Linked DNA regions of Elephas maximus indicus. The protein of the gene in region 2 purifies or fractionates together with the protein of the main gene of each other region. This does not show direct contact. Links are inferred from orthologs where the notes say so. Each region holds a gene or a part of one and is shown on either strand. Other genes may lie near its edges.

Evidence for each region.
Region 1: the proteins of ESR2 (region 2) and SURF6 purify together in Homo sapiens (affinity purification with mass spectrometry; 3 studies listed by BioGRID and IntAct, with this or other methods). This does not show direct contact. The link is inferred for Elephas maximus indicus from reciprocal best matches to the Homo sapiens genes ESR2 and SURF6.
Region 3: the proteins of ESR2 (region 2) and PRMT5 purify together in Homo sapiens (affinity purification with mass spectrometry; 3 studies listed by BioGRID and IntAct, with this or other methods). This does not show direct contact. The link is inferred for Elephas maximus indicus from reciprocal best matches to the Homo sapiens genes ESR2 and PRMT5.
Region 4: the proteins of ESR2 (region 2) and COPG2 purify together in Homo sapiens (affinity purification with mass spectrometry; 3 studies listed by BioGRID and IntAct, with this or other methods). This does not show direct contact. The link is inferred for Elephas maximus indicus from reciprocal best matches to the Homo sapiens genes ESR2 and COPG2.

The regions. Positions count from the first base shown.
Region 1 is NC_064827.1:5,223,374-5,231,352, reverse strand, and holds the start of SURF6 (surfeit locus protein 6), read right to left. Parts: upstream 3,009-7,979; 5' UTR 2,945-3,008; exon of another isoform or gene 2,804-2,944; 5' UTR 2,733-2,803; coding exon 2,639-2,732; intron 1,127-2,638; coding exon 926-1,126; intron 607-925; coding exon 515-606; intron 1-514. UniProt on the Homo sapiens protein: Binds to both DNA and RNA in vitro, with a stronger binding capacity for RNA. May represent a nucleolar constitutive protein involved in ribosomal biosynthesis or assembly.
Region 2 is NC_064828.1:76,639,167-76,646,473, forward strand, and holds the start of ESR2 (estrogen receptor beta), read right to left. Parts: upstream 3,009-7,307; 5' UTR 2,164-3,008; intron 1-2,163. Other genes in the region: coiled-coil domain-containing protein 170-like, read right to left, coding at 7,055-7,219.
Region 3 is NC_064828.1:34,276,191-34,283,443, reverse strand, and holds the start of PRMT5 (protein arginine N-methyltransferase 5), read left to right. Parts: upstream 1-4,249; 5' UTR 4,250-4,366; coding exon 4,367-4,476; intron 4,477-5,092; coding exon 5,093-5,211; intron 5,212-5,514; coding exon 5,515-5,600; intron 5,601-5,775; coding exon 5,776-5,910; intron 5,911-6,380; coding exon 6,381-6,493; intron 6,494-6,639; coding exon 6,640-6,689; intron 6,690-7,253. UniProt on the Homo sapiens protein: Arginine methyltransferase that can both catalyze the formation of omega-N monomethylarginine (MMA) and symmetrical dimethylarginine (sDMA), with a preference for the formation of MMA.
Region 4 is NC_064826.1:19,142,168-19,149,194, forward strand, and holds the start of COPG2 (coatomer subunit gamma-2), read left to right. Parts: upstream 1-4,015; 5' UTR 4,016-4,073; coding exon 4,074-4,149; intron 4,150-5,279; coding exon 5,280-5,332; intron 5,333-5,889; coding exon 5,890-5,970; intron 5,971-7,027. Other genes in the region: TSGA13 (testis-specific gene 13 protein), read left to right, coding at 1-4, 520-647, 3,527-3,696. UniProt on the Homo sapiens protein: The coatomer is a cytosolic protein complex that binds to dilysine motifs and reversibly associates with Golgi non-clathrin-coated vesicles, which further mediate biosynthetic protein transport from the ER, via the Golgi up to the trans Golgi network.

The DNA.
Region 1 (7,979 bases), on a different chromosome or scaffold from region 2:
TCCCAGGAGGGCGAGGAGAGAAGCTGGGGGACTGTCCCCCACACAGCGAGGCAGCACCGCCTGCAAGAGAGCTGTGGCTGGCTCAGTCCTCGTGTCACCTCGGGTGGCCACCTATCTCAGGCCCACTGTGACACGTTGGTGACAGACCAACAAGTGCCCAGCCCAGTGAGGGTGCCCAGCCTAGTGAGAGCATCCAGCAAAGGCAGCTTCCCAGGAAGAAGGGGGCAGGCTTCTCACTAAGGCCATGGAGGAGAGGGGCAGTGGCATCAGAACGTCCAGCAGAAGGCGACTTTGGGGACTGAAGTTTCCCAAGAGGATAAGAACTACCTCTGACCTCTCCCAAAACAGACCCGAGACCCCTGGCAGGAGCCACTGCAGGAGGAAAGCAGTGGCCGAGGCCCCTCCTGCCAGCCCACAGCCTTCCTGCCATGCTGGTCAGGCCCACAGAAGGCAGGGAGGTGTCTCCTCCTCCAGGCAGGGTAGGGGCGCCCCAGGGGAGTCTCCCCTCACCTACCTGGCCCCGGGCCTCCTGTATCTTCTCATGCAGCCGCTGCCGAAGCACATCGAGGGCAAAGAAAGAGTCAGGGTCTGTGGTCCAGCGTTCTGCTAAGGGAGCAGATGCGAGGGCTGAAAAAAGACTAGCTCCCCAATCCTTCCCTGAGTTTCTAGTCACACACCCCCTAGTGACCACTCACAGATCTGCAGGAGCAGTTCCAGTCAATTCTATGACCCCTGTGGCATTCTCCAGGGCCGGTCACTGTGGTATGACAAAGTGCTTCCTCTGGTGGACGCCAAACCCAATCCCTGCATCAGAGCCCACAGTCTGCTCTCACGACACCCCTTCCAAGACTTGAGGGCAGTGATGTTGCTCCTCAGAAGGGACCATGTTTGCACATGCTGGACCTGGGGTCCCGGAGCCTCTCACCTGCAGGGGCCACGGTGGAGCTGGAGGCCTCCTCCTCTTCTGTTGCCACTGGCTTCTTGGCCCCAGAAGCTGCTGGAGACTTCTGCAGGGACTTGGCCTTGTGCTCCACAGCCTTCTCTTTCTGCTCCCAGAATTTCTTCTGCATTTTCTTCCTTTTCTTTTTTGAAGGCCCGGCAGCTTTTGTGTCTTGAGTTTGACCAGCTGAAATACAAAATGCATGAGGGCTGCCGTCCCAATCTCTGTGACCCGCTCAGGAGGCAGGAAGGTCTTGTGAACAAAGCCAACACAGAGCACCAGGACAGAGAATCCAGAGACATGTACCCACAGAGCACAGAACTATGGATCTTCCAGAAGGCAGGATGGCTGCTCACAGCAAAAACCTTAAAGACATGCGTACCCCTGGCCTAGCAGTTCTGTTTGTGAGAACTCACCATGGCATGAGCAAAGGTGTGGCTTCAAGGATATTCATCGTGACAGTGCTTGAATGAAAGACTGAAAAAACCTAAATCCTCACCGACACCAAAAAAATAACCCATTGCCAAAGAGTCGATTCTGACACGTAACACTCTATAGGACAGAGTAGAACTGCCCCATAGGGTTTCCAAGGAGCAGCTGGTGGATTTGAACAGCTGACCTTTTGGTCAGCAGCTATAGCTCTTACCCACTGTACCACCAGAGCTCCGGGACAAATTACGCTACTGCTACACAACAAACTACTACACAAAACCAAACAAACCAAACCCAGTGCCGTCGAGTTGATTCCTACTCATAGCGACTCTATAGAACAGAGTAGAACTGCCCCGTAGAGTTTCCAAGGAGCTCCTGGTGGATTCGAACTGCCGACCTTTTGGTTAGCAGCCGTAGCTCTTAACCACTATGCCACCAGAGTTTCCAGAACCATCAAAAACAATGGAGTAGTCTTTCACTTCTTGTCTGGAAAGATGTTTACATTTTAAACAGAAAAAGATGAATACACAGAGTAGGACCAAACTGTTAATAACAGAAACTTACACTAAGAAAAAACTCTAGAAAAACACAGATCGAAATTATAACTGAAACATAAAAAACAGACTACTGTTTTCTAATTCTTTGTAATGAATCATACTCCTTGCACAAACATGAAAGTAAAGTTGAAAAAAACAAGCAAACAACAACAAAAAAAAACGATTCTCTGGGACCCCAGGTCTTTAAAGCCCGGCCCCTTTAGCTTTTTCCGGAGTAACCCTATACCCCCTGGCCTGTAAGCCGACCCTGGCAGGAACCCCGTTTTCTTTCTTCTCCCCACACAGCACCAGTGTGAGGTGTTTTGTTTTTTTTTTAATTGGTTCATCATCACTCGTAACTGTCTTCCCACCCAAAACGGAAAGCTGGCTAAACTGGTTCACGGAGCCAACCACAGAGAAGCCATTCTACAGGGGTCACCTCTGCGAACCCCGGCAACGCTTCCCGCGCGATGGGCGAGCGGAGCTGAGCCCCTCGTTTCGGGCAGGCGCCCCTAACAAGCAAGGGGAACGGCAGAGCCGTGAACACCGCTTACATTTCCTGCCGGTGTTTCGCTGATTTGTCGCACGCGTTCGTCTGTCTAACCACGTGAAAGCCACCTGGGTGTGCTAAACGGCGACCTCGGCCGCGAGCGCGCGGCTCCGGAAGCTCCCCTTGCGAAGCCCCCCAACCCCAATGTCGCCAAGGCACGCGCCCGGGACCGCGCCTCACCCCGCTTGCGCTTCTGCGGCTCCGCGCTGGGCTGGGCGCAGATTTTCCTGGCCAGGTTCTGCAGGTAGGCGTCTTTGGCGAGCAGAGACGCCATGGCTGGAGGCTCGGGGGGCCGGGGCCGGGGCCGGGGCCGGGCAGCAGGGCGGGCGGCGCTCGCTCGGGCTCCTGCTCGGGCAGACAGGGGTGCTGAGGAGCGGAGGCCAGGGCACCTCGTCCTCCCCGACGGCCAGAGGGCAGAGGCCGAGACCTGGGTGCGGGGCCCCGGCCTGTCCCCGCCGCACACACCGACCCCGCGGCGACCCTCACCTCCGCCGGGCCGCAACCGGAAACCGCCGCGTGGGCAGGCGCCGCCAGCCGACCGCCGAGACGCCATCCGCGGCGCTCGATTAGCCAGGCCTGGCCCCGCCCGGAAGAGGGGAAAGAGGGCGGGAGGGCGCAAAGCATTGTGGGCTGTGGGCGGGCGCTCTTCGAGGCTGTCGCGACGCCCATGCAGCCTCTGCCCCGAGGAGGGGGTGGTGTTGGTGCCCCCCGAGTCCCGACCTTTGTGCCCCGTGTCCCTCGGCTCTGCACGTACCTTCGCGCACTTTTCCCAGCTCCGAGCACAGGGCCCCGTCCATAGGCGCACAGTTAGTAGGACTGAATGAACGAATAAATGGGCAGTAAGTTAAGCTCTTCGGGGCCTGAGATCCCAAATGGAAGCGGACAAAACCGCGTTTATTCAAAAAAGAATTGACCGCCAAGCGTGTGCCAGCCCCAGTTCCAAGCCCACGGGCTGCAGCAGGGAAAAAACACAGAAATCTGCGTCCTTTTCAAGCTTATGTTTTAGTGGCATCGACTGAAACACATGAAGTGCCCGATGGTGGGAGGCGGAGCCCTGGTGGTGCAGCGGTTAAGAGCTCGGCTGCTGACCAAAAGGTCTGCAGTTCGAAACCACCAGTCGCTCGTTGGAAACTCTAGGGCAGTTCTACTCAGTCCTATAGGGTCGATAAGAGTCGCAATCAACCCGATGGCAATGGGTTTTGATGGTAGGGAGGGCTAAGGAGAAAAGGGAGAGGAAGGGACAGACGGGAGGTGTTGGGAGGGAGGGAGCTGGGCGCTCAGGGAAGACCCGGAGGGAAGGTGATTTTTGTTGTGGAAAATACACTTGGTTCTTTATAAGAACTCACCAAGGGAGGAAGGGGAGTGTTCACTAGGGGACGCTGGGGACCACCACACTCCAGCTCCTTAACAGGACAGTTACAGGCTTTTGTTACATAACCCAGGAGCCCCCTCAGTGGAAGGGAGCTCAGAAGGGAGGAGCCTGTGATGTTCCACTGGCGGTCACCATTACAACTTCAACAGGCTATATGAGAAGGCTGCTAATAAGAAACATTGAGAATTAACTTTTCTCCATGGGTCAGAATCGACTCGATGGCAAGGGGTTTGGGTTTTTGTTTTTTCTTTTTTTTGGTCCCCATCCCCTACCATGAGGTGATGTGTTATGCGGAGGCTGGTTTCATCATCGTCTTCTTTCTACTGTAGTTTAAATCCAGTTTAATCTCTACCTACAGAAGACAGTCTTCAGTATGAATTACACCTCAACATAAAGAAAACAAGAATTCTCACAACTAGACCAAAAGCAACATCAGGGTAAACGGAGAAAAGATTGAAGTTGTCAAGGATTTCATTTTACTTGGATCCACAATCGACATCCTTGGAAGCAGCAGTCGAGAAATCAAAAGACACATGGCACTGGGCAAGTGTGCTGCACAAGACTCCTTTAAAGCGTTGAAGAGCAAAGATGCCACCTTGAAGACTAAGGTGTGCCTGACCCAAGCCTTGGTGTTTTCAATCATCTCATATGCATGTGAAAGCTGGACAATGAATAAGGAAGACCAAAGAAGAGTTGACGCCTTTGAATTGTGGTGTTGGCGAAGAATGTTGAGTATTCCAGGGACTGCCAAAAGAACAAATAAATCTGTCTTGGAAGAGGTACAACCAGATGCTTCTTAGAAGCAAGGATGGTGAGACTGTTTCTCACATACTTTGGACACATTATCAGGAGGGATCAGTCCCTGGAGAAGGGCACCCATGCTTGGTAGGGGGGCCAGCAAAAAAGAGGAAGACCATCAACAAGATGGATTGATACAGTGGCTGCAACAATGGGCTCAAGCATAAGGATTATGAGGTTGGCACAGGACCAGGGGGTGTTTCATTCTGACTTGACAGCACCTAACAACGACAACAACTACACAGAACAATCATTAAGTTGCAGACATGTCCTTCCAGGCACTGTCATTTAAACCATCAAAGCAAGAGACCGAAGGGATAGGGACAGGGCAAAGGACGACAGGGATGCTGGGTCCTCCGGCACCGGGTTCTCAGTTCATGTGGATGTCAGCTTATTTGTCCTGCATTCTCCATTTCCAGGTAGGTCTTTGAGGCTTCACTGAGGTCCTCACTCCACGGGCAGTGGTAGATGCCACCAGAGGTGCCACAGGGCAGGGAGAGAAAACCCAGAGGTCCTCTGGTTGGTGAGTCCGGAGTGCAGATCTTGTTTGTGAGCCTACCTAATTTTAGTTACCTGTGAGAAGTTGAATAAAATCTGGCCCTGTTTACAAACTTGACAATTAAAGATACAACTATGAAGATACTACCACTACCATGGCTTGGAGTTGATTCCCACTCGACTCGTAGCGACCCTATAGGACAGCGTAGATTGCGCCATGGGGTTTCCAAGGCTGTAATCTTTACAGAAGCAGATTGCCACATCTTTCTCCTGCTGAGGAGCTGGTGGGTTTGAATCACCTACCTTTCGGTTAGCAGCTGAGCGCCTAACCACTGCACCACCAGGGCTCCCATTAAATTTTGTTTCCGTGACTTTGATTTGCCATCATAAAATTCAACAGTAAAAATCTTTTTTTTTTCTTTTTGTGTGCTTTAGGTGAAAGTTTACAGCTGTCTCACAGAAAAATTTATACACATATTGTTTTGTGACATTAGTTGCAATCAGCACACTCTCCCTTTCTGCTCTGGGTTCCCTTGTTCATTCGACCAGTTCCTGTCCCTTCCTGCCTTCTTATCCTGCTTCCAGACAGAAGCCGCCCATTTGGTCTCATATATCTGATTGAACTCAGAAGCACACTCCTCGCGTGTATTATTTATTTATTATTTTTTTTTTTTAATAACTTTTATTAAGCTTCAAGTGAACGTTTACAAATCCAATCAGTCTGTCACATATAAGTTTACATACATCTCACTCCCTACTCCCACTTGCTCTCCCCCTCTTGAGTCAGCCCTTTCAGTCTCTCCTTTCTTGACAATTTTGCCGGCTTCCCTCTCTATCCTCCCATCCCCCTCCAGACAAGAGTTGCCAACACAATCTCAAGTGTCCACCTGATATAATTAGCTCACTCTTCATCAGCGTCTCTCTCCCACCCGCTGACCAGTCCCTTTCATTTCTGATGAGTTGTCTTCGGGGATGGTTCCTGTCCTGTGTCAACTGAAGGTCTGGGGAGCATGGCCGCCGGGATTCTTCCAGTCTCAGTCAGACCATTAAGTTTGGTCTTTTTATGAGAATTTGGGGTCTGTATCCCACTGATCTCCTGCTCCCTCAGGGGTCCTCTGCTGTGCTCCCTGTCAGGGCAGTCATCGATTGTGGCCGGGCACCAACTAGTTCTTCTGGTCTCAGGATGATGTAGGTCTCTGGTTCATGTGGCCCTTTCTGTCTCTTGGGCTCTTAGTTGTCGTGTGGCCTTGGTGTTCTTCCTTTTCCTTTGCCCCAGGTGGGTTGAGACCAATTGCTGCATCTCAGATGGCCGCTTGTTAGCATTTAAGACCCCAGACGCCACATTTCAAAGTGGGATGCAGAATGATTTCATAATAGAATTATTTTGCCAATTGACTTAGAAGTCCCCGCAAACCATGTTCCCCAGACCCCCGCGCTTGCTCCGCTGACCTCTGAAGCATTCATTTTATCCCGGAAACTTCTTTGCTTTTGGTCCAGTCCAATTGAGCTGACCTTCCATGTATTGAGTGTTGTCTTTCGCTTCACCTAAAGCAGTTCTTGTCTACTGATTAATCAATAAAAAACCCTCTCCCACCCTCCCTCCCTCCCCCCCTCGTAACCACAAAAGTATGTGTTCTTCTCAGGTTTACTGTTACTCAAGGTCTTATAATAGTGGTCTTACACAATACTTGTCCTTTTGCCTCTGACTCATTTCGCTCAGCATAATGCCTTCCAGGTTCCTCCAAGTTATGAAATGTTTCAGAGATTCGTCACTGTTCTTTATCGATGCGTAGTATTCCATTGTGTGAATATACCACAATTTATTTACCCATTCATCCGTTGATGGACACCTTGGTTGCTTCCAACTTTTTGCTATTGTAAACAGAGCTGCAATAAACATGGGTGTGCATATATCTGTTTGTATGAAGGCTCTTGTATCTCTAGGGTATATTCCTAGGAGTGGGATTTCTGGGTTGTATGGTAGTTCTATTTCTAACTGTTTAAGATAACGCCAGATAGATTTCCAAAGTGGTTGTACCATTTGACATTCCCACCAGCAGTGTATGAGAGTTCCAATCTCTCCGCAGCCTCTCCAACATTTATTATTTTGTGTTTTTTGGATTAATGCCAGCCTTGCTGGTGTGAGATGGAATCTCATCGTAGTTTTAATTTGCATTTCTCTAATGGCTAATGATCGAGCGCATTTTCTCATGTATCTGTTGGCTGCCTGAATATCTTCTTTAGTGAAATGTGTGTTCATATCCTCTGCCCACTTCTTGATTGGGTTGTTTGTCTTTTTGTGGTTGAGTTTTGACAGAATCATGTAGATTTTAGAGATCAGGCGCTGGTCGGAGATGTCATAGCTGAAAATTCTTTCCCAGTCTGTAGGTGGTCTTTTTACTCTTTTGGAGAAGTCTTTAGATGAGCATAGGTGTTTGATTTTTAGGAGCTCCCAGTTATCGGGTTTCTCTTCATCATTTTTGGTAATGTTTTGTATTCTGTTTATACCTTGTATTAGGGCTCCTAGGGTTGTCCCAATTTTTTCTTCCATGATCTTTATCGTTTTAGTCTTTATGTTTAGGTCTTTGATCCACTTGGAGTTAGTTTTTGTGCATGGTGTGAGGTATGGGTCCTGTTTCATTTTTTTGCAAATGGATATCCAGTTATGCCAGCACCATTTGTTAAAAAGGCTATCTTTTCCCCAGTTAATTGACACTGGTCCTTTGTCCAATATCAGCTGCTCATACGTGGATGGATCTGTGTCTGGGTTCTCAATTCTGTTCCATTGGTCTATGTGTCTGTTGTTGTACCAATACCAGGCTGTTTTGACTACTGTGGCTGTATAATAGGTTC
Region 2 (7,307 bases):
AACATGATACAACAAATACACATGCAACCAAAAATGCGCTAGCCCTGTTTACATCTTATTTTATAAGTGAAAAAGAAAACAAAAATATTTGCTGCACACATACAAAGCAAAAATGCTCATAACAACTACAGTCCTCATTTCTGCAACTGGTCACACGGTCATAACTGGTATTTAGAACTATCTTCTTCCACCACCCATTGTGTATTCCCTTTGCCATCACCAAGCACCTCAGCTGGTTGTGGTTCTTTTCCTGGTGGGGTGACCCAAGCCTTTATTCCTGAAGGATCTGGGGCAGTAGTAGTCATGTTGAAATTGGGCTGCAGTGTTTTTCCATTGATTTTAATCACAGGGCATTGTAGTACTAAGAGACACCCTAAGAGAGCTCCTGCATTCCAGACATACTCTTCTTTACCTCCATTATGTAATATCAATCCGATTTCCTATTGGTAATCAGGATCAATCACACCAGCCAGTATGGTAACTCCCTTCTTTGCCTGTTGATCCAGAGGCATAAGGAGCCCAAAGAGGCCAGGTGGCATTCTTAGCTTCCAGTTCAATGGAACCAGTGATGTGTCTCCAGTTGGAAGTATTCCTCCCTTCCAAAGAACTAAGACCTCTAGAGCCACAGAGCATAAGGTCACAGGGACAAGAAGCAAAAATTTTGCAAGTGGGTCACTAGGGTTAATAGTGAGTGGTGCCACTCCCATTTCTACCTCTTGATTCCTAGACCCATGAATTCTGGCTATGGGAGAAACCGCACCATATACTGGACGCTGATTTAGAACACATACAGCCTCCTGCAATACACTGTCCCAAACCTGCAAGGAACTGCCACCTAGCTGGCACCATAATTGTGTCTTTAGAAGGCCGTTCCATTGTTCTATCAATCCAGCTGCTTCAGGATGATGGGGATGTTATCAGTCCTCCAGGTCTCACTCGGGGCAACACTGAGACATGAGTCAGTTGAAAGTGAAAGAAAGCTTTATTTGGTTGGCCAAATAAAAGAGCACATCAGGACCTGCATCGCCAAGATTGTTTCCTGATCGGCAGGGACAGCAGTTTATATGCGTAGGATAACGGAGTGGGGGCTCTTCTTCAGGTGGTGTTCAGGAATGTGGTCCCTCAGGGTTGGTGGACAACTTCTACGATGATGTTGTTGTCATTGGGTACAGAAAGTCGCACTGGGATTCAGGATTCACGAGATGGCGGCAGCAAAGGGAAAATGGTGACTTAGCTCCTCCCAGCCCCCCGCAACCCGTCAGCGCCATCTCTGTAATATGTTGCCAGGAGGACAAGGTGAGGCTGTCTGTGCATGAATGCGTTGTTCTGTGCCTGCAAGGGCACCTCAGACTGATCCTGTCCAGTATTTGCCCCAGGGAATGTTGTAACTGGTTTGATCTTCCATCCAGACCACTAAAACTTTCTCCATGTCAGCAATGAGGCTGTTTGGCTTTCTTGTCATTCACTTGTTTACTGGAGTAGCACTTTTAATTTCCTTCAAGAGCTTTTCCTTTGCATTCACAACTTGGCTAACTGTTTGGTACAAGAGGCCTAGCTTTCAGCCTATCTTGGCTTTCAACATACCTTCCTCACTAAGCTTAATCATTTCTAGCTTTCGAGTTAAAGTGGGAGATGTGTGACTCTTCCTTTCACTTGAACACTTAAGAGGACATATAATTGGCCTAATTTCAATATTGTCGTGTCTCAGATAATAGGGAGGCCTGAGCAGAGGGAGAGAGACTGGGGAACGGCTGGTCAGAAAAGCAGTCAAAAAAAACACAACATGTATCGATTAAGTTTGCTGTCTTAAATGGGAGCAGTTCATGGTGCCCCAAAACAATCACGTTTGTATCGTCAAAGATCACTGATTACAGATCACCATAATAGATAATACAATAATGAAAAGGTTTGAAATATTGCAAGAATTACCAAAGTGTGACACAGAGACATGAAGTCAGCACATGCTGTTGGAAAAATTGCACTCATAGATTTGCTCGACGCAGGATTGTCACAACCATCAATTTATAAAAAACACAACATCTGCGAAACACAATAAAATGAAGTGTGCCTGTAACTGCCTATTTGTATTAGTGGCTGTATCTAGTCCTGAGTCTTAAATGCTACTGCACAACCACTATCATGTCAAATGATTCAACAACTCACCTGACAACAAGAGAAGGAGACATTAACCGCAGTCCAAGAACAGACTAAGGTCTCCGGGTATTTTTCTGGTTTTGTTCAGCAAAATCTTGACAATTGTGAAAATCTGGATATCACAGATTAACGTCTTCTAGTCTGACATCACCTTGGTTCTCCAGTCATGCTCCCAAGCAAACGCCCGATCTAATTTCTTCTCCAGAGTGGCTGCCTATGGATAGGCTCGCCCTTGTCAGCCAACACACAAAGCACGGAGTGTCTCCAAATCTTGGTGAATGGGCATATAGTTTATGTAAGGCAAGGAGGGTTCCCTGGTGGCACGGTGGTTAAGCACTGGCTGCTAACCCAATGGTCTGTGGTAGAACCCACGACCACTCCCTCCTCTGACAGTCGGCTTCCATAAAGATTACAGCCTTGGAAACCCTAGGAGGCAGTACTTCCCTGTCCTATATGGTCGCTACGAGTTGGAATCGACTACACGGCAAGGGGTTTTACGTAAGGCCGCGATCCGTTCTCCAACCTCGAATCCGATGTGGGGGAATCTGACAAAACCTAGATTTGCAAAGCTGACGACCCTCTCGGAGCACTAGCAATCCCCCCAGCGTTATCGCAGACACAGAGGGACCAGCGCGGCGCTCCTACTCTGACATCCCTCCCAGCTCAGCAGGGCCTAAGGCAGCAGGCTTCAACTCTGGCTGAGACTCAGATTCACCGAGATTTTACGAACACTGTTATGGGCGCCATCCCACACCCTCCCAACAGAATCGGGGTGAGGACCCTGACACCAGCTTCACAGCGCCGGTGTGTACAAAGTCGGCAGCCGCACCACATCTGCAGGCACTTCAGCGCTCCCAGCAAGTTCCGCGCCGGGTAGCTCCGCCTAGACTCTGCCGGGGCAGCCCAGGTCCCTCAGTCTCCTAGCAACGCGCCACCTACCGGCCCGGAGGGCTAGGGAAGGGCCTCCCGCGCGGGCGATATCGTTCTCCCGCGACATCGCCCCGCCTCTGGTCCCTGATTGGCTAGAATCGCACCAGGAGTTTCCTCCTACTCCTTCAGATGTCCCCCGCCGCATCCAAAGACTCATCTGGAACGTTCTTTCCATCAGCCAATCATTTCCTCCAGCCAGTAATCAGCGAATGATTCCTTCACTGTCTCCCACCCCTAGCACGGTCCAGAATTGTCTCTCAGTTAAAAAAAAAAAAAAAAAAAATTTTTTTTTTTAAGTGGCCCCTGGAGGCCTGGTGGCGCAATGGTTAAGTGATAGGACTGCTAACCAAGAGGTAAAGGTAAGCAGTTCAAATTCACCTGCCGGTCCTTGGAAACCCTACAGGGCAGTTCTATCCTGTCCTCTAGGGTCGCTGTGGGTCGGAGTCGCCTCCAAAGCAACGAGTTTGGGTTTTCTTTTTTTCTTTTTTTGGTTAAGTGGCCTCTAGTCGGCCTCTCCGCAGTGCTGCGCAAGCGCAGCCACTTTGCGGGATGCTGGCGCAGTAGCGCGGACTCCCTGGCCGCTGGCTAAGCATGTGGCTTCGCATGTCCTGCTGTCTGCTGAGGGAATCATACCACCCTAGATGAGACCACTTTGGGAATCTTCAAAGGGAAGATAATCTCTGCGTAAGCTGCTGCACTTGTTGCTAGGGTGCGTTGAGCCACAGGCGAGTGGTCTGAGCGGCATGTGCAGACCCTAATGGTCCCTCTGTCCGGAAGGGGGTATCTTCAGGGGAAAGGTGAATTGGAGGGTGGAGACGAAGGTAGATCTCAGCCTGTCACACCTTGCAGCCGAGGAAAGGGGCCCCAGGCAGAATTAGCGTTTGCAGGTGAGCCGCCTGGTGGCTGTGCCCGCTGGCTTCTGTCCTTCTGGGGCAATAAACTCCTTTATCTGACCCAAAAATGTGTCTTCCAGGATAGTTGGGCATGCCTGGAACAGTCAAAACTCAGAAATCCAGGCCACCCTTCCTCTCTGTGTTTGAGATCAGAGAGGGCCAGAGCTTGACTGAGGGTCGCAAGGCTGGTTAGAACCAAGGTCTAGTTTGGCCCCTGAGAAAATTCAGCATGCCAGTGAGTGGGAGATCTGAATGCTTAACTAGTGGCTGGTTGTCAAAATTTATTCTACTGTTGGTCATTTGGGTATTTTCCAGTTTGGGGCAATTATGAATAGTGCTGCCATGAATAATCTTGCAAATGTCTTTTTGTAGACTGTACACATTTCCATCAGGTATGTATGTTGTGTGCCGTTGAGTTGATTCTGACTCATAGCGACCCTAGAGGACAGAGTAGAGCTGCTCTATAGTGTCTCCTAGGCCATAATCTTTAGGGAATTCACCAGGTTTTTTCCTCTCACGGAGCAACTGGAGCAGCTGGTGGATCCGAACCTCCAACCTTTCAGTTAGCAGCAGATCTCTTAACCGTTGTGCCACCAGAGTTCTAAGTGTATATATATATATATATATATATATATATATAACAACAACATACACCTGTTGATGTGGAGTCAATTTCAACTCATAGCAGACCCTATTGGACAGAGTAGAACTGCCCCATAGAGTTTCCAAGGAGCAGCAGGTGGATTTGAACTGCCGAACTTTTGGTTAGCAGCCTTAGCGCTTAACCACTATGCCACCAGGGCTTTGTTACAGCAGCAATAGGAAACTAATATGCTGCCAAAATATTTTCCAAAGTACTTTTATCAATTTATAATTTTTACAATTTACATTTTTTAACTTAGGGAGCATTGGAAAAAAAAAAACATACTTCAGCCCTACACCACATCAAAGTGAACTGGAATCTCAGTAGGCCTGGAAAAAAAACTTTTTTTTTTTTAAGTTCATTAGGTAATTCTAATGCATCTCGAGGCTGAAAACCACTTACCTAAAGTCTTAAATCTAAATCCAGTTCTCATCGTTGAAGAACAGTGTGTCAGTGATCTGTCTAAAAGTACAGAAAGCATTTTCTGGAGAGTGCTGGTCCAGATCATTGAAGGGTCTTTCTCTGCCTCCGCAGTTAACGAACCTTTACATTGTCCTGCGGTTGAAGTACCTACTAACAATTCAAAGGAATAGTAAGACTAAGGTCCCTTTGTGCTTACAGAGTGTTTTCTTTTAATGTGCTCATAAGGTAGCTCTTTCAGAGACTGCTGCAATTTGGCACCTTGACCTTCCTGGAGAGCTTGACTTTGGGAGCTGGGAGCTTGTGCACAGTGCTCGGGAGTCCTCAGAGGGGATGCCCGGGGAGCGACGTGGCCTACCTGGCTTGTGGTATAGCACAGTCCTCCCAGCTCCTTGTGCTAAGGTTGCAGAAGGCAGCTGGGTGGCCCTGGGGGAATCCTGAAGCAGAAGGTACAGTAAAACCTGCAAAAGCCAGAACCTGTGTGAGGTAGAAACCTATCAAAAAGGAATATGCAAGTATTTTCCAACTAATAGCAATAGAAAAGTGGTAAGACTGCACCCTGTCAAAATGGAAAACTTGCAAAACCCAGAAAAACAAGGAGGTCCCGTCAAGCTCCTCCTCTCACAGGTTTTTCACTCTAGTTCTTACAGCTTAGGCAGGTTGGGCTACATTAGGGCTCTGGGCAGCGTGTGCCCACCTTCCTCTTTCGCAAGGCTAAGGACAGTCTTGAAAGGAAATACATGCAGGCTTCTCTCACTTGCAGCCAGGGATCCTGAAGTCTGGGGAAAGTCTTTCATTCCCCACATTTGAAGGTTTTTGTCTTTGGTAGTAATGCATCAACTGCTGTGCCTCCCTAGGGGACAGATTGACAAGTCCTGAGGCCATGGGCCATTCCCATCACAAAGATACATCATTGAAAGGAATGAAGAGTAGTCTAATGTTGAAACAATAAACTACCTGGAGCTAGTAGTTCATGTGGTTTCCTGACACGCACCAAGTGTCACTGTATTTTCCTCTAAAATTTGAAATATTCCATGACATTCCTATGAGATTGCTGCAGCACACCAGGGTGCCTTGTCACACAATTTGGGAACCACAGCTGTGACCATTTAAAAGATGAGTGACTCATTTTTTCCTTGAATGAGTATTCAATCATTTTCTTCCCAAGGTACAGAAGATCCAATGTAACCTGACCTCTTCCACCCTAAGAATCCCTCTAAAACTAAGCGCAGTAGGAGATCCTTTTAAACGCCCACAGCTGGCACTTAGTGCCCATAGCCCTGTGCAGATTCTGACCTTTTCCCGCAGAGGACATCTTAGGTGAATCTAACACTATCCTGGGAGATAAGCAGTTTCCTATTTCAAATGAAATGAATTAAAAATTATACTATTTAAAAATTAGCCCAATTTTTATATGAGAGACTGATTAGATTTGTAAACTTTCACTTACAGCACAATAAAAAAAAAAAAGTAGCCCATTAACTTAGAGATCTGGCCACCATTAGGAAAGCACTGGCAGAGACTATTAAACACTAAGAAAATAAAAATCACACTACAGTGTACTGCAGATTTATAAGAATTCTCAATGACTTTCCTGCCCCTCAACATTTCAGATCTGATTTTCACACTCTCAGGTAATCAAATAATTTCAGAAGCCATAGATCATAACTTTACCTGGCTCCCAAGAGGGATTTCAAACCCAATAAATTATTCATTCTGAAAACAGGCTTAACTATGGATGTAAATATTCCAACTTAAGCACAAGTTCTGCTTAATATCCTACTTAAAATACAGTTAACAAATATAATTAGATAATTATATGTTACAAATAAATTAAAGTAGATCATAATACATAGAACAAAATTATGACAAAAGCTAAACGCAAACAGGAGAACAGATTCAAGTGAAAATTTTCCAGTGCATTTTATTCATAATGTAGCTGCATTCAAGATGCTGAAGGAAACATCCATATCGGGTGAGTTCTTGTTGGCAGCAAGGAAGAGGCAGAACTTCTTTAGTCATTCTCCGGTTCAGCCTCATCATCAGAAGCAGTCCTTGATTTTTTGTTAGATGCTTCATAAGCTTGTAGAATAAACCTGAGCTGATTGATGACTTCTTCATCTGCTGTTTTCATGTGAAATCCCAACATCTTTGTAATGGTTTCTCGAAACTCAGCAAGCTGCAAGAACCAAGACATCATTAGTTTTGCTCACCCACTTGTTACATAAAGTGAAGCTGCTACTAGAAATGTAGTCTTATTAAACATT
Region 3 (7,253 bases), about 42 Mb from region 2:
AACAATCTTGTTATGGGGGATATCTTTGTTAATTATGTCTTCTAAATGGTTATTCCTAGTAGATAAGAAGAGTACAGATTTATTTTATATTTGTCTTGTATCTAGTGACTTCTCTGAATTTGTTATGAATTTTCATCATTTAAAAATTGATTCTCATGGATTTTCTAGGTATACAATCATATCATCTGCAAACAATGATAAATTTGCCTCTTCCTTTCCAAAAGTTATGACTCCTTTTTTCAAGTCTTACTATATTGGATTTTTCAGAACAATATTAAATAACTCAGTGATGAAACCAGATATTCTTGTTTTATTTCATCTTTATATAAGTTGTTGACTTTATATATCATATATATACACATATTTATATACGAAGAATATTAAGACTATTAAAAACATTTATAGAAAATGAAAATTGACTTACCATGTTCTCTTTGGTAATTATTGAAAAAAATCAAATGTTTTTCTTGGTTTCTTATTGACCTATTATATAAATAAATTCTCTAATACCTAAACTTATGTTAATCCCTGGGATAAACTCTAACTGGTTGTGGTATATAATTATTATGTTCATACATTGTTGAATTTTATTTGTTAATCTTAAATATTTTTGGAATTTTATATTTATATTCATAAGTGAGATTGGTCTGTAGTTTTTTGTTTGCTTTATATTTTGGTGCTACTTCTGACAGGTCTTTGTATTAGGTTTATTCTGGCTTCATAAATAAATTGGGTAGTTTTCTATCTTTTTTTATTTTGCAGAACAGTTTCTACTTTCATTTTGACAGATAAATACTGTATAATAGAGATGACAAGGAAGAGAATGCAAATTGGCATAGATTATTTTGCCTCAGTAACTCTGCCACTTTTGTAGCTAGAGGACAGCCTTCGTTGTGAAGAAGCAATTTGGAGCAAGTAAGAGGGTCAAACGGGCCATCATTTCCGTTTTGAATAGTGCGGCTGGCTGGGCCAGCACAGAGGTGAGTAAGGATGGATCTGGGGAGGGAGGAAAGAGCTAAGAGAGGAGGGGAGCACAAAAGAAGATGAAAGGAGGGTTTACAATGGGTGGGAGGTGTTTAAACAAGGACAAAAACCAGGATCAAGTAGGACTGGGCCTGACAGTGGGACTGCTGGAGGGCCTGGTTGGCTCAAGTCAATTCTGACACATGGCGACTCCATGACCCCATGTGTGCAGAGTAGAACTGCTCCATAGGCTTTTCAAGGCTGTGACCTTTCAGAAGCAGATGGGCAGGACTGCCTTCTGAGGCACCGCTGGATAGGTTCCAACTGCCAATCTTTCTGTTAGCAGTCGAACATTTAACTGCGCTACCAAAGGCCTGGTGGGGAGGATTATCCGGGAATGAGTACTCCTTCCCTTCCAGAAGAGTCTCCACTTTTCAGCTGGTAGCCTGTTGGTCACTTACTCCTATTTGAGAAAGTAACAGTATTTCTCACCCAGGGTATTTTCCTTTCTGTTCTACCATCTCCCTACTTCCATCCCAGCAAAAGCCTACATCCCATAGTTTTATACACACGCTTCTGAATGCAAGAGTTCAGCACGGAGAGCGAAGCAGAGAGTGATAGATGTCACCAACTTCAACTTTTTGCCTATGGCCAAGTCCTGTAGAAGGTTCTCTATTTCTTTTTCAGTCCTTCCCTTTTTGCTCCTCTAAGTTCCTATAGATAGACCCACAGTTACATGCTGCTTTTTTATGGCACAGACCAGAGCTGTAGGATAGTGGAGAGCAATGTGGTATGGAATTATGGGGAACCGCTCAGCATCATGCTTGCCACACAGCTGAGGCCGTCCTGACTGGAAAAACAAAGACAACACAGACAAATGAAATTTCTAACAACAAACTGAACTTGAAGGTCAGTCAGAAAGTCCAGGCTTTTTTTACATGAATCATTTTGAAAATTATTTTAACTGATGGCCAAACTGACATTACTGCTTCATAGATTTTTCCTCACTCTTTCTTACCCAGAGATGGGTTAGTTAACAATCAAAAGAGCAGCCACCAGCTTGACGTCAGGAGTGGGATGCCAGGAGCACAGATGGTCCACAACTCAGATAATTAGCTTCTGAAGGAAAAACAACATCTAATAAGTCTTCTGTGAATGCAGAGTTTGGCTGGGCACAGCTGGGGCACAGAATAAGCAGGCTTCCACACCTCTTTTTCTATCCCTTAGGATGTCTGCAGAACCCTCACCCACTTCCTGTGGACAACAATCTACTGTAGATGTTCCACCCTAAAGGAGGGGAGCATAACTCCTCACTCCTTAAGTACACTGCATAGTAACTTCCTTCCACAGAAAGGAAGAAAAGGAATAGATCTACAGTGGAGAAACCTGATAAACACTGCTTCAGTCAGGTCATCAAGGTCAATATCAACGGTCATAATCATGTTGGTAGTATGTACCCTTGATACGATGTGATAAAAATGGCACTTCTGTGATCTTCCTCCCCAAAACCCATAACCTCAGTCTAATCGTGGGAAAAACATCAGACAAATTCCAATAGAGAGGCATTCTAGGATACAGCTGACCAGTCCTCCTCAAAACTATCAAAGTCACCAAAAACAAGGAAAATCTGAGAAACTGTCACAGCCAAAAGAAGCCTTAAGAGATATGATGACTAAAAGTAATATATCCTGGATGGGATCCTAGAACAAAGGACATTCTGAATAAAGTATGAACTTTAATTAATAATAATATATCAATATTGGTTCATTAATTATAACAAATGTATCATACTAATAGAAGTTAAAAGTGGTGTGTGGTGTTGGGGTGGGGAAGCAGGGCTATATGAGAATTCTGCACTATCTGTTCAATTTTTCTGCAAATCTAAAACTGTTATAAAAAATTGATTAATAATAATAAAACAAACCTGCACGTATCAAATAAAGACTTAGGATGGGACAACAGTATTTCCAAACCCTCAGACCCGGTGGGGCATTTCCTTAGATCTCTGGCTTTTGGGTTTTCCTCTTTTTAAGGCACTTACATTAAATCCAGGGTTCCTCAGAGGAGAAATTATCTTATATACACCCTTTCCATGTTCTCAGGGCTCTGTCACCCACAGGCCATGGTGATCTCATTCACTGTTATGACTTCAGTCACTACCTGTCTTCTGGTGATTTCCAAATCTTGTCCGGTTCACATCACTGTTCATCCAACTCTCTATTACACAGCGCCCTCTAGACGTTCAATTCAGCACGTCCAAACCTTAATTTCCCCTTAAATTTGCACCGCTCATTTCTTGTCTCACTGAGAGGCCAGAGCCCTGGGCATCACCCCAGACTTCCCATTCTCACAGTCCCCTGCCAGTCGGTCCCTCAGTTCTGTCAATGCTTCCTGCTTAGGGCCTCTTGTGCTGTGTTCTCTCTATCCACCTCCCCTCCCTCCACCCCAGAGGTAGGGCCTTCAATACGGTTGGGCCGCCAGCTTTCAGGTGTTCCCTTTCCTATTCCTTTCTTTGCCTGATTCCTTTCCTTCTTCTCTGTCCCTATAGCAGCTGTTGACATTGGAAAGTACATAGTTTCTTTCGATCCTCGCCAGGCAGCTCCATGGCTCCCCTCTACTGTAATCTCGCATCATGAATTCTTTTTCTCTGATCTTCAGGGGTGTGTTTATTTAGCTTTTGTGTTTGAGACAGAATCACAAGGAATTAGTGGCAGAGTGATCATTGTCTATTTAAAAATGTAACATGCAACGAACAGGGACAGATCCCAATTTAAGAGCTCCAACTATATTAATTCAGTTTTCTCAGTGTACAGGTGGACACAAGAACCACCTTTGAAGGCGTAACGGGGAAAAACTGGCGGTAGAACTTAATCAAATTACGACCTGAAATCAGGGTGTGAAAAGATAACGAGAAAACACAGAAACACGAGCCTTACACCAATTACTGCATTAGGGTGTAATAAGGGAACGCCCGTCCCACCGAGCCAGCCAGGAGTCGAACCTGGAATCTTCTGATCCGTAGTCAGACGCGTTATCCATTGCGCCACTGGCCCTGAGACAAGGTGGCCCTTCTCACTGATGACACTTCAAGCTTATACTGCAGGGTTTCACGGGACGTGTAGTCTCTTGACGAAGTCTGCAAAGGCATAAAGCATTATGGGAACTTAAAGCGCGTCACGTACCAGACCCTGCGGTTGGTAGATCTTTGGGAGCCACGCCACACGTCACAGTGAAGCCCGAGGATTGGCGGGAAGAGCCCCCACCCCTCTGTCTCCTGTACGCGAGCTGTAGAAGACGCTCTGGTTGTTAAGGCGACTCGTCCCGCCTTCTGGGGGCTTTTTATAGGGTTTTTGATTGGTTGCTAGTATTAAGGAACCCCGGCGTGGACAACGCGAGGGGAAAGATGGCGGCGATGGCGGTCGGGGGTGCCGGTGGGAGCCGCGTGTCCAGCGGAAGGGACCTGAATTGTGTCCCCGAAATAGCTGATACGTTGGGGGCTGTGGCCAAACAGGGGTGAGGACCCAGACCGAACGGAACCCGGGGTCCGAACTCGCGAACCGAGAGGGGCAGATTAGTCATCCCTGAGAGGCAGGGGTGAGGGGATCGAAAAGGGTAGGATGTAGGCGGGAGAGCTCTCGACTCCAGGAGCGAGGGAAGAGAAACTTTTGGGGTGTGCGGTCACTGAGCCAAAAGTCGGGGGAATTGTTGAATAAACCCAAAAAGAGGCAGTGAAGTCGAGGTTCTTGTCTAGGAGTGAAAGTATTAGGGAGCAAGAAAGGAAAAAAGAAAGGGGAGGCATGGGCAGTATTGGGGCAGATTTAATCCTGGAAGGCCAGTGACAGCAGAGTAGAAAGTATTCTCCTTGGAATGAATTTTCACCTCTTCTTACTCGTCTGGTCCACGGCTGTTTTTGAGTCTTTCTTTTTTTGCGTGGCATACTGGTATTGAGGCACAGTGCAGCGGAATTGATATGCTCCAACGTGGGCTGAACTCAGCAGCCCAGTGGGGTGACTGATGGCAACTGAAAGGGCTCGGTGCAAACTGAGGTAGTCTAAATCCAGTTGGCTTGGACCTCTCTGGGCATTGCTGTTCTCTTTACATGATGACTCTGGGTCTGTCGTGGTTATAGGTTTGATTTCCTCTGCATGCCTGTCTTCCACCCGCGTTTCAAGAGGGAGTTCACTCAGGAACCTGCTAAGAATCGGCCTGGTCCCCAGACACGATCTGACCTACTGCTATCAGGAAGGGGTAGGGACCATCCCGTATACCCCTTAATTATCAGAGGCAGTAACAACTTCTACTTTATCAGGGTCCTCATTCTCTTCCTTTCCTGATTTGGGAGTGTTGATTAGTTCCTGTGATACAGATAATCTTATTTTCTCCGTGCTTACTTGCTAAAAGTCTTAGTTCCCTATTCTGGATCAAACTATTCTATGTCTGTGATAGAAAAAGTCCTTGTCTCTTACTCTGTATCCTGCTAAGAAAGAAATTTAGCAAGAATAAAGTGCTGAACCTTATTCTGTCTTTGTCTTTCTTGGCTGGGACTTGCAGACTGGAATACACTAATTGTCGGAAAGCTTTCTCCATGGATTCATCCAGACTCAAAAGTGGAGAAGATCCGCAGGAACTCAGAGGCGGTAAGGGTGTTTCACCTCTCCACTGGATCTTTCTAAGGATTAGATCTGAAACTGAGCTGGGTGGGGAGAGCAGTTTTTCCTCTCATAACTTGGTGAATCAGGTGTCTGATACAACAGAGTTAAAGCTATTTGGGTTGCTAGCTCTTCACCTTTTCCTCTTGATCTCTGTGTCTAGGCTATGTTACAGGAGCTGAATTTTGGGGCATATCTGGGTCTTCCAGCTTTCCTGCTGCCCCTCAATCAGGAGGATAACACTAACCTGGCCAGAGTTTTGACCAACCACATCCACACTGGCCACCACTCTTCTATGGTACGGCTGAGGGGCTCCTTTCCTACTGTATAATACGGTAGTCTGCTGCTGTAAGTGTCTTTTTATGCCTAGCCATTCAGTGGAAGGTGCACATGGCAGAATTAAAACGTCAGTATTGCCTATCTCCGAAATAAAAGTGGTATGCAGAGAGATATAAGACGTATGCAGTATATAATACTTTATGTCTAGAAACTTAGAGTTGAGATAAAGGAAAGGCAGACATTTCCATAAGGACAAACACAGGATACATGTCCTTTTGTACATGTTGTTAGGTGCTGTCGAGTTGGTTCTGACTCATGGTGACCCTATGTATAGTGACTTTAAGTACAGTGACCTTATGTACATGTACCTAATCACAGATTGGGAAAAGCATATAAAGGTATTTACTTGAGGTCTGGATCAAGATCTTTTGACGGGGGGGAAACTTTCTGGACACAGTGAGTTCTAAATAAGGTACCTGTCATGTACAGTTCTGGATGCGGGTCCCATTGGTGGCACCAGAGGACCTGCGGGATGATATCATCGAGAATGCACCAACCACACACACAGAGGAGTATAGTGGGGAGGAGAAGACATGGATGTGGTATGTCTCCTTTTGGTGCTTCTGTAAGTTAAAGGGTAGAGTGAGGGGAAGTACAGGTGGAACCTTTAGGGAAGTCTCTCCTTTGAACTTGGTGATGGGTAGGTTCTGTGCATTTGACTGTATGTTGCTGTATTTGCCCTGAACAGGTGGCACAACTTTCGGACTTTGTGTGACTACAGCAAGAGGATTGCAGTGGGTAAGTCCATGAGGTTCCTAGGGTAGGTATCCCTTCTCTGACCCTCTATGAATAGGAATCGGGAGTTTAAAGTGTCATGTGTACTTGGCTGCTGGGCAGTTTTCCTACTTTTTTTTTTTGTAAGTTTTATTGTGCTTTAATGCTTTAAGTGATAGTTTACAAATCAAGTCAGACTTACAGAAAAATTTATAAACGCCTTGCTATATACTCCTAATTTCTCTTCCCCTAATGAGACAGCACTCTCCTTCCCTCCACTCTCTTTTCATGTCCATTTGGCCAGCTTCTGACCCCCTCTACCCTCTCATCTCCCCTTTGGACAGGAGATGCCAGCATAGTCTTATGTGTCTACTTGATCCAAGAAGCTCATTTTTCACCAGTATCATTGTCTATCCCGTAGTCTAATCTAATCCCTGTCTGAAAAGTTGGCTTTGGGTATGGTTCCTGTCTTGGGCTAACAGAAGTTCTGGGGACCATGACCTCCAGGGTCATTCTAGTCTAAGTCAGACCATTAAGTCTGGTCTTTTTATGAGAATTTGTGGTCTGCATCCCACTGCTCTCCTGCTC
Region 4 (7,027 bases), on a different chromosome or scaffold from region 2:
TCAGGTGAAGCTCTGGCTCTTCTTGTACTCCCTGTCTTTCCTATTTTTCCTCATTCATTGTACTGTCTCTTTTCAATACAATTTGACAAACTCTTTTTGATTGCACGTTGTATGTACAACTGCATAAGACACAGCTACCTTACATGACCCCCAATCTCATTTATACTGTGATGAAAGAGAGACAGTAATGAAGGCAGAGCATGTTCAGAGCTATGGTTAACAACAATATGTCATGAGAACACAAAGATAACGAGATTTTATTTGAAACTAAATGATAGAGCAGCCTATATCTAGCTTGGAGAGGAGAGGGGAGATTCTGGAGTTCTCCAGAGGTTTTACAGTAGAAGGTTTTAGAAGCATCCCTTGCCACTGAACAATACTCCCACCCAGTCCCAATCAACACCCTTTAATCATTGTCCCTTCTTCTCTCAGAGTCTCTGAGAATGTAGTTTACTGTCAAATGACTGGTTTCTTTAACCCCCTGCCCTAGGGTCTACTAAGTGAGCTTTCTTTGTTAAGGTTTTCCACTGACAATGATTTCAAGAGTGAAGGGGAGTATTCAAAGGTCTATGCCTTGAGGAAACAGAAAAAAATGTACCCTCAGCTTGCCTTTTCTCCAATCGGTAAAAGAGATATGAGGAAAGACGGTAAGCTCCTTTCTTTCAAAGCAATGGTTTATTGGACTGAGATATCGGCTGGAGGTAGAACCTCTGGGGACTGGAGATATGGGCAAATCAGTATTTCTCATGGTGGTCCTAAAGAATATTTTTCCTTGTAGCATAGAAGCTAGGAACTGATCAAGGTGCTAGGTTTTGGTCCCTGCTTATAGCCTTACATGTCAAGAAAGCTCTAGAACAGTATTCCCAAATACCACCACCTACCACTTTAATAGTTTTTGCCATGTCAGTTTAGTATTTTTCTCTTAAAAGATTTTTTTCACTCTTGTCTTAATCAATACTATATCTTTGACATCATGGGTTTGATATACTAATTATATATTTTTCTGATACACATTAAATCAAACTCATAACAATTAAATTTTAAAATGTGTATTTAGGTAGCAGCTAAAACCATCCACGGTATGCATAACACACTTTGGGGAAAACTGGTCTAGAAGGGCCAAAGGATAAGCAAATCTCAGAAGTCCTCAAGTCTCTTTGGGGTTGGGGTAGGGCATTGGACAGAAGGGGCTTGGGATAAGGCTGCATCGAAGAGGGTGCAATGAGAATGCTCTTCATATTTGTGGGGTGCCTACTTAACGTTGAACACTTACCAAGCACCGATAATAGCACTTTAAATACGTGAGACAGATGAACCCGACCATGAAGTCCTTTTATAGTAAATAAATAAGAACTTGGGTTTTATCCAGTAGGCTATTGGGACCTATATTAGGTCACTGAACACACATTTGTATATTATAAATATAATTAATGAGTTCCCAGACTTCACCAGCTGATGGCTTCAAGATAAAGTCCATTCCTCCTACTAGGTTTCTCTCCTCAAGCGATTTTTGAGGCTTCCTAAGAGCTCAGCTGCTAACCAAAAGGTTGGGAATTCGACTCCACCAGCCACTCATTGGAAACCATATGAGGCGGTTCTAATCTGTCCTATAGGGTCACTATGAGTCAGAATTGACTTGACAGCCATGGTTTTGGTTTTTGGTTTTATTAAGGTCTATTTAGGAGGCCTGATAGTGCAGTGATTAAGTGTTTGGCTGCTAACCAGAAAGGTTGGCAGTTCAAGTCCACCAGCAACAGATTTTTTTTTTTTTTTAAGGTAAGTTTACTGTTTTACAGTTATCCTAGTGATTGATTACCTAACACCTTTGCCAACCATCTTCAGGGCAACAGTCCCAGAGGTCCCAGGTTACACCATACCATCCCTTAACTGGTTTCTTCAGGCCTCTCTGCTCCTAGTTACCAACCCACCCCACCTTACCCACTGCCTGTCTTAACTCCCATATATACAGCTAAAGCAAAGCTGTAGTGGTAAACAAAACTTCATGGGTGTGGAGGAAAGCTAAAGGACAGCAGAGAGAGTTATATTGCTTTAAAAGAGGCTACTTACTCTCAGCTTAGCCTCAAACCCAGCCTCAGTTCCTCTAAGCTTCCCAGTGGGCCTCTAGTACGTTACTTGTTCTTGGGAATCTCCTGGCCTATCTACCTGTTTCTGCCAAGGCTCCTAATACCCTTGGCCCAAGAAAAGGAAGAGGTTCTCCTTCCTTCCCCCAAACCTGTTTCGTTTCAGTCCCAGTAAAAATGACAATGAGACCATCTATTTCCTGCAAGGGAAATTCTTCCTGGGAAGTATGGTTTGAACTTTATAAGCCAGATAAGGCAAACGTAATAGTTGAGAATCCATTTAGTAAAGTTAGAGTTAAATCTTAAATGATACCATATGTAAGGATATCAACAGTGCAGCTTAAATTCATATTTAAAGGCAGAATTTCTCTAATTTTGCAAGGGCATGGTCCTTGTTCAGGATACACCCAATTTACATTTCTAAACAGAATGCTTAATATCTTGATCTGCAGCATCTATTAGAGTTATGACTTCATATTTTCCATCAAGACAAATGAGTGGATACTTGTTTTACTTATGTGAAGTTGAATCAGTGTCTCCACTCGTGGCAAAAGAGAAGGCTAGCAGTCTCCCTCCCCGCAGTAGTGTTCCATGTTTACCAGGCATCCAAAGAAATAAAGATCATAGAGAATGGTTTGAGGCAGGGCCAGGAAGGCGGCTGTCCAAGAAACAGCTGATGAAGACTTGAGCTAAGGAGTCAGCAGTAGAGATAAGGAACAGATTCAAGGGTCATCTACCAGGTATACCCAGAAACCACACCAGCTGTTGTTGAGTCAATTCTGACTCCACGTGTGTCCTAGTAGAACTGTGCTCCACAGGGTTTTCAATGGCTGATTTTTTGGAAGTAGATCGCCAGGTCTTTCTTCCAAGACACTTCTGCATAGACTGGAACCTGCAACCTTTGGGTTGGCAGTTGAGCGCTAAAGCGCTTGCACCACCCAGGGAGGTTTTACAAGGTATAATGCATCAAAAAAGTGGGGAGGGATTGAAGGAAGAAGATCCCACAATGGAAGCTTGAAAGAACAGAACAGAGATTGAAGGAGAATCTGGATAAAATGTTTTAACTGAAGCCAAAAGTAGAAAAAGTTTCTTACTTACACTGTCTGACAAAGAACCGACAACAAACGGGTTAGAAAAAGACTGAGAAACATGAATATACACGTGCGTGCAAGTTAGCCTAAAGAGTTATGTAAGAGTGTGGTTGAAGATGGAAAAACTCAGAAGAGGTGGATTAAATGAGGGGACTGTAAACCAGCGGTGTGTTTTAAACTGGTTTTTGAAGAAGCGACGAAAACGTTTGACAACGAAGGCTGGAAGGGTAGTCCGCGGTCCACAATCTACCCTCTTGGTTAAAGTAAAGACCAGCTTTCTGGTCGGTCACGCTTTGCATTAAGCGCCCTTGTAGAATCCACATTCACCTCAAGGTGCCCTGTGCTTTGTTGCAGCTTCCAAGAAGTCAGCGAGTGCAGTGCCGACTTCCCAGGCGATCTGGGAACCACTCACCCTGTCATCGCTCCTGGAAGAGAAGCCCACCAGAACTGTGCCGGGGGAGAGCGCGTTCCGCAACGGAAGAGCCCAGCAGTGGATCATAAATAACGCCACTCTCATTAAGTGAACACAAACCCTCCAGGCCCCCCTCCCGCCTCGGTCTCCAGACAGGGGTCTGCAGACGTCGCCATCTGCGGCGTGCCATCCAAATAAAATCACATTCCTGCTTGCTCCAGGCGTGGGCTGCCGGGTCGCTGGCCAAGTGGGCAGGAGAGCCCCTCGCTCCGACCTGTCACCGCCCAGGCCCCGCCCCGCCCATGGCCCCGCCCACGCCCGGCTGAGGGCGAAGAGAGGGCGTGGCTGCGGCCCTCCCCGGGCGAGAGCGACGGCCCGCGGCCGGGGGCGGGCCTTCTCCCGGAGTGACGGGCCGGCCGCCCAACCGGCGGGAGCGCTCGGGGCCTGCCTTCCTGCAGCCTCTTCCGCTTGCCGGCTGCTGCGTCTGGGATGGTTGCGGTGGGTCTGGGCGCTGGGAAGTGGGCCAAGATGTTTAAAAAATTCGACAAGAAGGACGAGGAGTCTGGTACGCGCTGGGCCGCTCACGCACACCCTTGGCTGTGGGGACCCCTTTTTGCGCCGCCCTCATGTGCTCCGGGCACGGCGGCCCCGGGGGCGTGGGCACCGGGGGCGTGGGCACCGGTGTGCGCGCGACCCCTCCCCTCGCTCCCGCCGGGGAGCGAGCTTCCCCTGGCCCCTCCCCCAGCGGCCCCGCCTGCGCCCCTTCCTGGCGGCCCCGCCCGCGCCCCGCCCCTGCGCCCCGCCCCCCAGCGGCCCCCCGCCCCCCAGCGGCCCCCCCGCCCCCCAGCGGCCCCCCTCTCCGGCTTAGCCCCTCCGAGCCCCTCCTGGTGGGGCCGTCAGGAGTGGAGGCGGGCTCACGACAGGTGGAAGGAGTGCGTGCGCATGTATGAGAGGCGGGGGTGCTGGGGGTGCTGGGCCCCTAGTGGGAGCACCCTCTTTTGGGCCTGGGGTCGACGGGAACAGCATGTGTGTCCGTGTCCAAAGTTGAGGTGCCTTCTACCTTACAGTCTTTCTTGGGACCTGCCTGCCCCATGGAACATAAGTCAGTGCTCTAGCATGCAGAAGTGACTTTCGTCTTGTTGCCCATCTTTAATCCAGTGGAAAGGGCGAAGAGGCCAAGCCACCTCCACATTCTCAGCTGCCCTCACAAAGCATGGGAGAGGGTGGGGTCCGTTCACCTCCATGGGCCCTTCCCGCTTTTAAGTTGCTATGGTTCTGTGCTGAATTCTTCGTTTCTGCCTCTCAGTACGTGTTATAAGCAAATAAAAAATAGTGCTCGCCTTTAGAGAAATTAGAGTGCCCCACCATCATCTCATTCATTTTAATTGCAGTGGAAATGGCAGATAGTCATAATATTCTTGTACAAAGAGGGCAAGCAAAGAAGACATTCTCATTTCAGGCAGGGTTCCAGCCAAAGAGAAGTCCGAGATCTTCCAGGATAGCAACGACAGAGATAGTGCCAGAATGAAAATACTTTCATTCCATTTACATGCATATTAGTAATGATTATCACTGTGATATCCAAGTGGTCACCTCACTTTAGTGAGATTTCCCAAGCATTCAGTGCCCTTCTGGTGGAAGTAAATACGCTTATGCAGAACAGCTATTACAGATGTCTTTTGTTTTATCATATAGGGAGTGGCTCCAACCCTTTTCAGCATCTGGAGAAGAGTGCTGTCTTACAGGAGGTATGGCTTGCAAGTACATCGTGCTCCTTTCTTTTCTATTTTGTTTTAGAATGGCGGGCAGAGAACCCCTGGGATGCTACAATTGGGGCATCCAAAATGAGACATGAATGTAACTGAGTTCAGAGAATGTAGACTTGAGAGGAAAGGAAGAGGGGTTACTTGCCATGGGAGAGTTTAGAGCTTTTAGAAATGTAAAGACACACAGACTCTGCTACATGCTGGGAATTTTAAATGTCAGAAGACGTGTTTGGTGTGAGGTTATTGAAGGAAGTTATAGATATTAAGCTCCCTGTGTTTATATGATGCAGTAAATATTGTGATTTGTGGTAAATATTGTGATTCTTATTTACCAGATAAAGTTCAGAAAGTTGAAGTATTAGATTTAATGGAATGGGTTGCAAAGTACAGAATGGAAGATCAAGGCTACGTCTAATAATTTCTTGTATTCTATGATACATTGAAGACTAATGTTTTTGGATATTGTGATTAAAAGTTGGTTTGCTGTCATCTGTGATAGAAAATGTAGAAAATATACTATATTTTTTTTTTTTTTATAGGCTCGTATATTCAATGAAACTCCCATCAATCCAAGAAGATGTTTGCATATTCTTACCAAGATTCTTTACTTACTGAACCAGGTAAATTATTTTTAGTTTTTCTCAGGTTTGTGTCCTGGAGTAGAAATACATAGCATGGAGTGAAGTACTTTCTGGAAAGTACTTATCTATTTCTCTAAAATATTTAACATAATAACATGTAAAACTTCTTGAGGACAGGAATTATAACATATAGTTATTTTGTGTTCATGAGATACTAAACCAGCTGACCACATGGTAGATTCTCAATAAATACCTATTGATTTGAGTTTAACAACAACAGCAACAGCAAAAAACCAAACCCGTTCCTGTCGAGTCAATTCTGACTCATAGCAACCCTATAGGACAGAGTAGAACTACCTCATGGGGTTTTTAAGGTTGTAATCTTTACAGAAGCAGACTATCACATCTTTCTCCCATGGAGTGGCTTGTGGATTCAACCTGCCAGCCTTTCAGCTAGCAGCTAAATGCTTAACCAGTATGCCACTTTGAGTTTAACAGGTACTAGTTAATGTTAGTATAAATGTTTACATTCGTTCAGAGATCTTTATATCTCTCCAAAAATACAATGCAAAATCTCAGGCAAATTCCAGGTAGATATTTTACCTTTCTTGGGGAAGGCGGGCAAACCCTGGAGGCACAGTGGTTAAGAGCTATGGCTGCTAACCAAGAGGTCGGCCATTCGAAGCCACCAGGCACTCCTTGGAAACCCTATGGGGCAGTTCTATTGTGTCCTACAGGGTCGCTGTGAGTCAGAATCGACACTATGGCAATGGGTTTTGGGAAGGTGGACGGGTAGGATAGATCATCAAAACAAAACAAAACAAACCCATTGACATCGATGACAATGGGTTTGATTTATTTACTTATTTTTTGTATGTATATACACCCCCCCCCCCCGTTTCCATTTGGTGCTGAGTAAGAAGACTGGTTTCCAATTTGAATTCCATGTGAATATTTTATCATTACTCTGTTTCTTGACTGAGAACCTTATCCATAGATTTAATAGTTTTTGTTGTTTGCAAATGGAGGTTGAGCAGTAAGCACACACTTTTTAAATAAAATGTATCTGTTCACTAACATTTTAGTCTGTATGTCA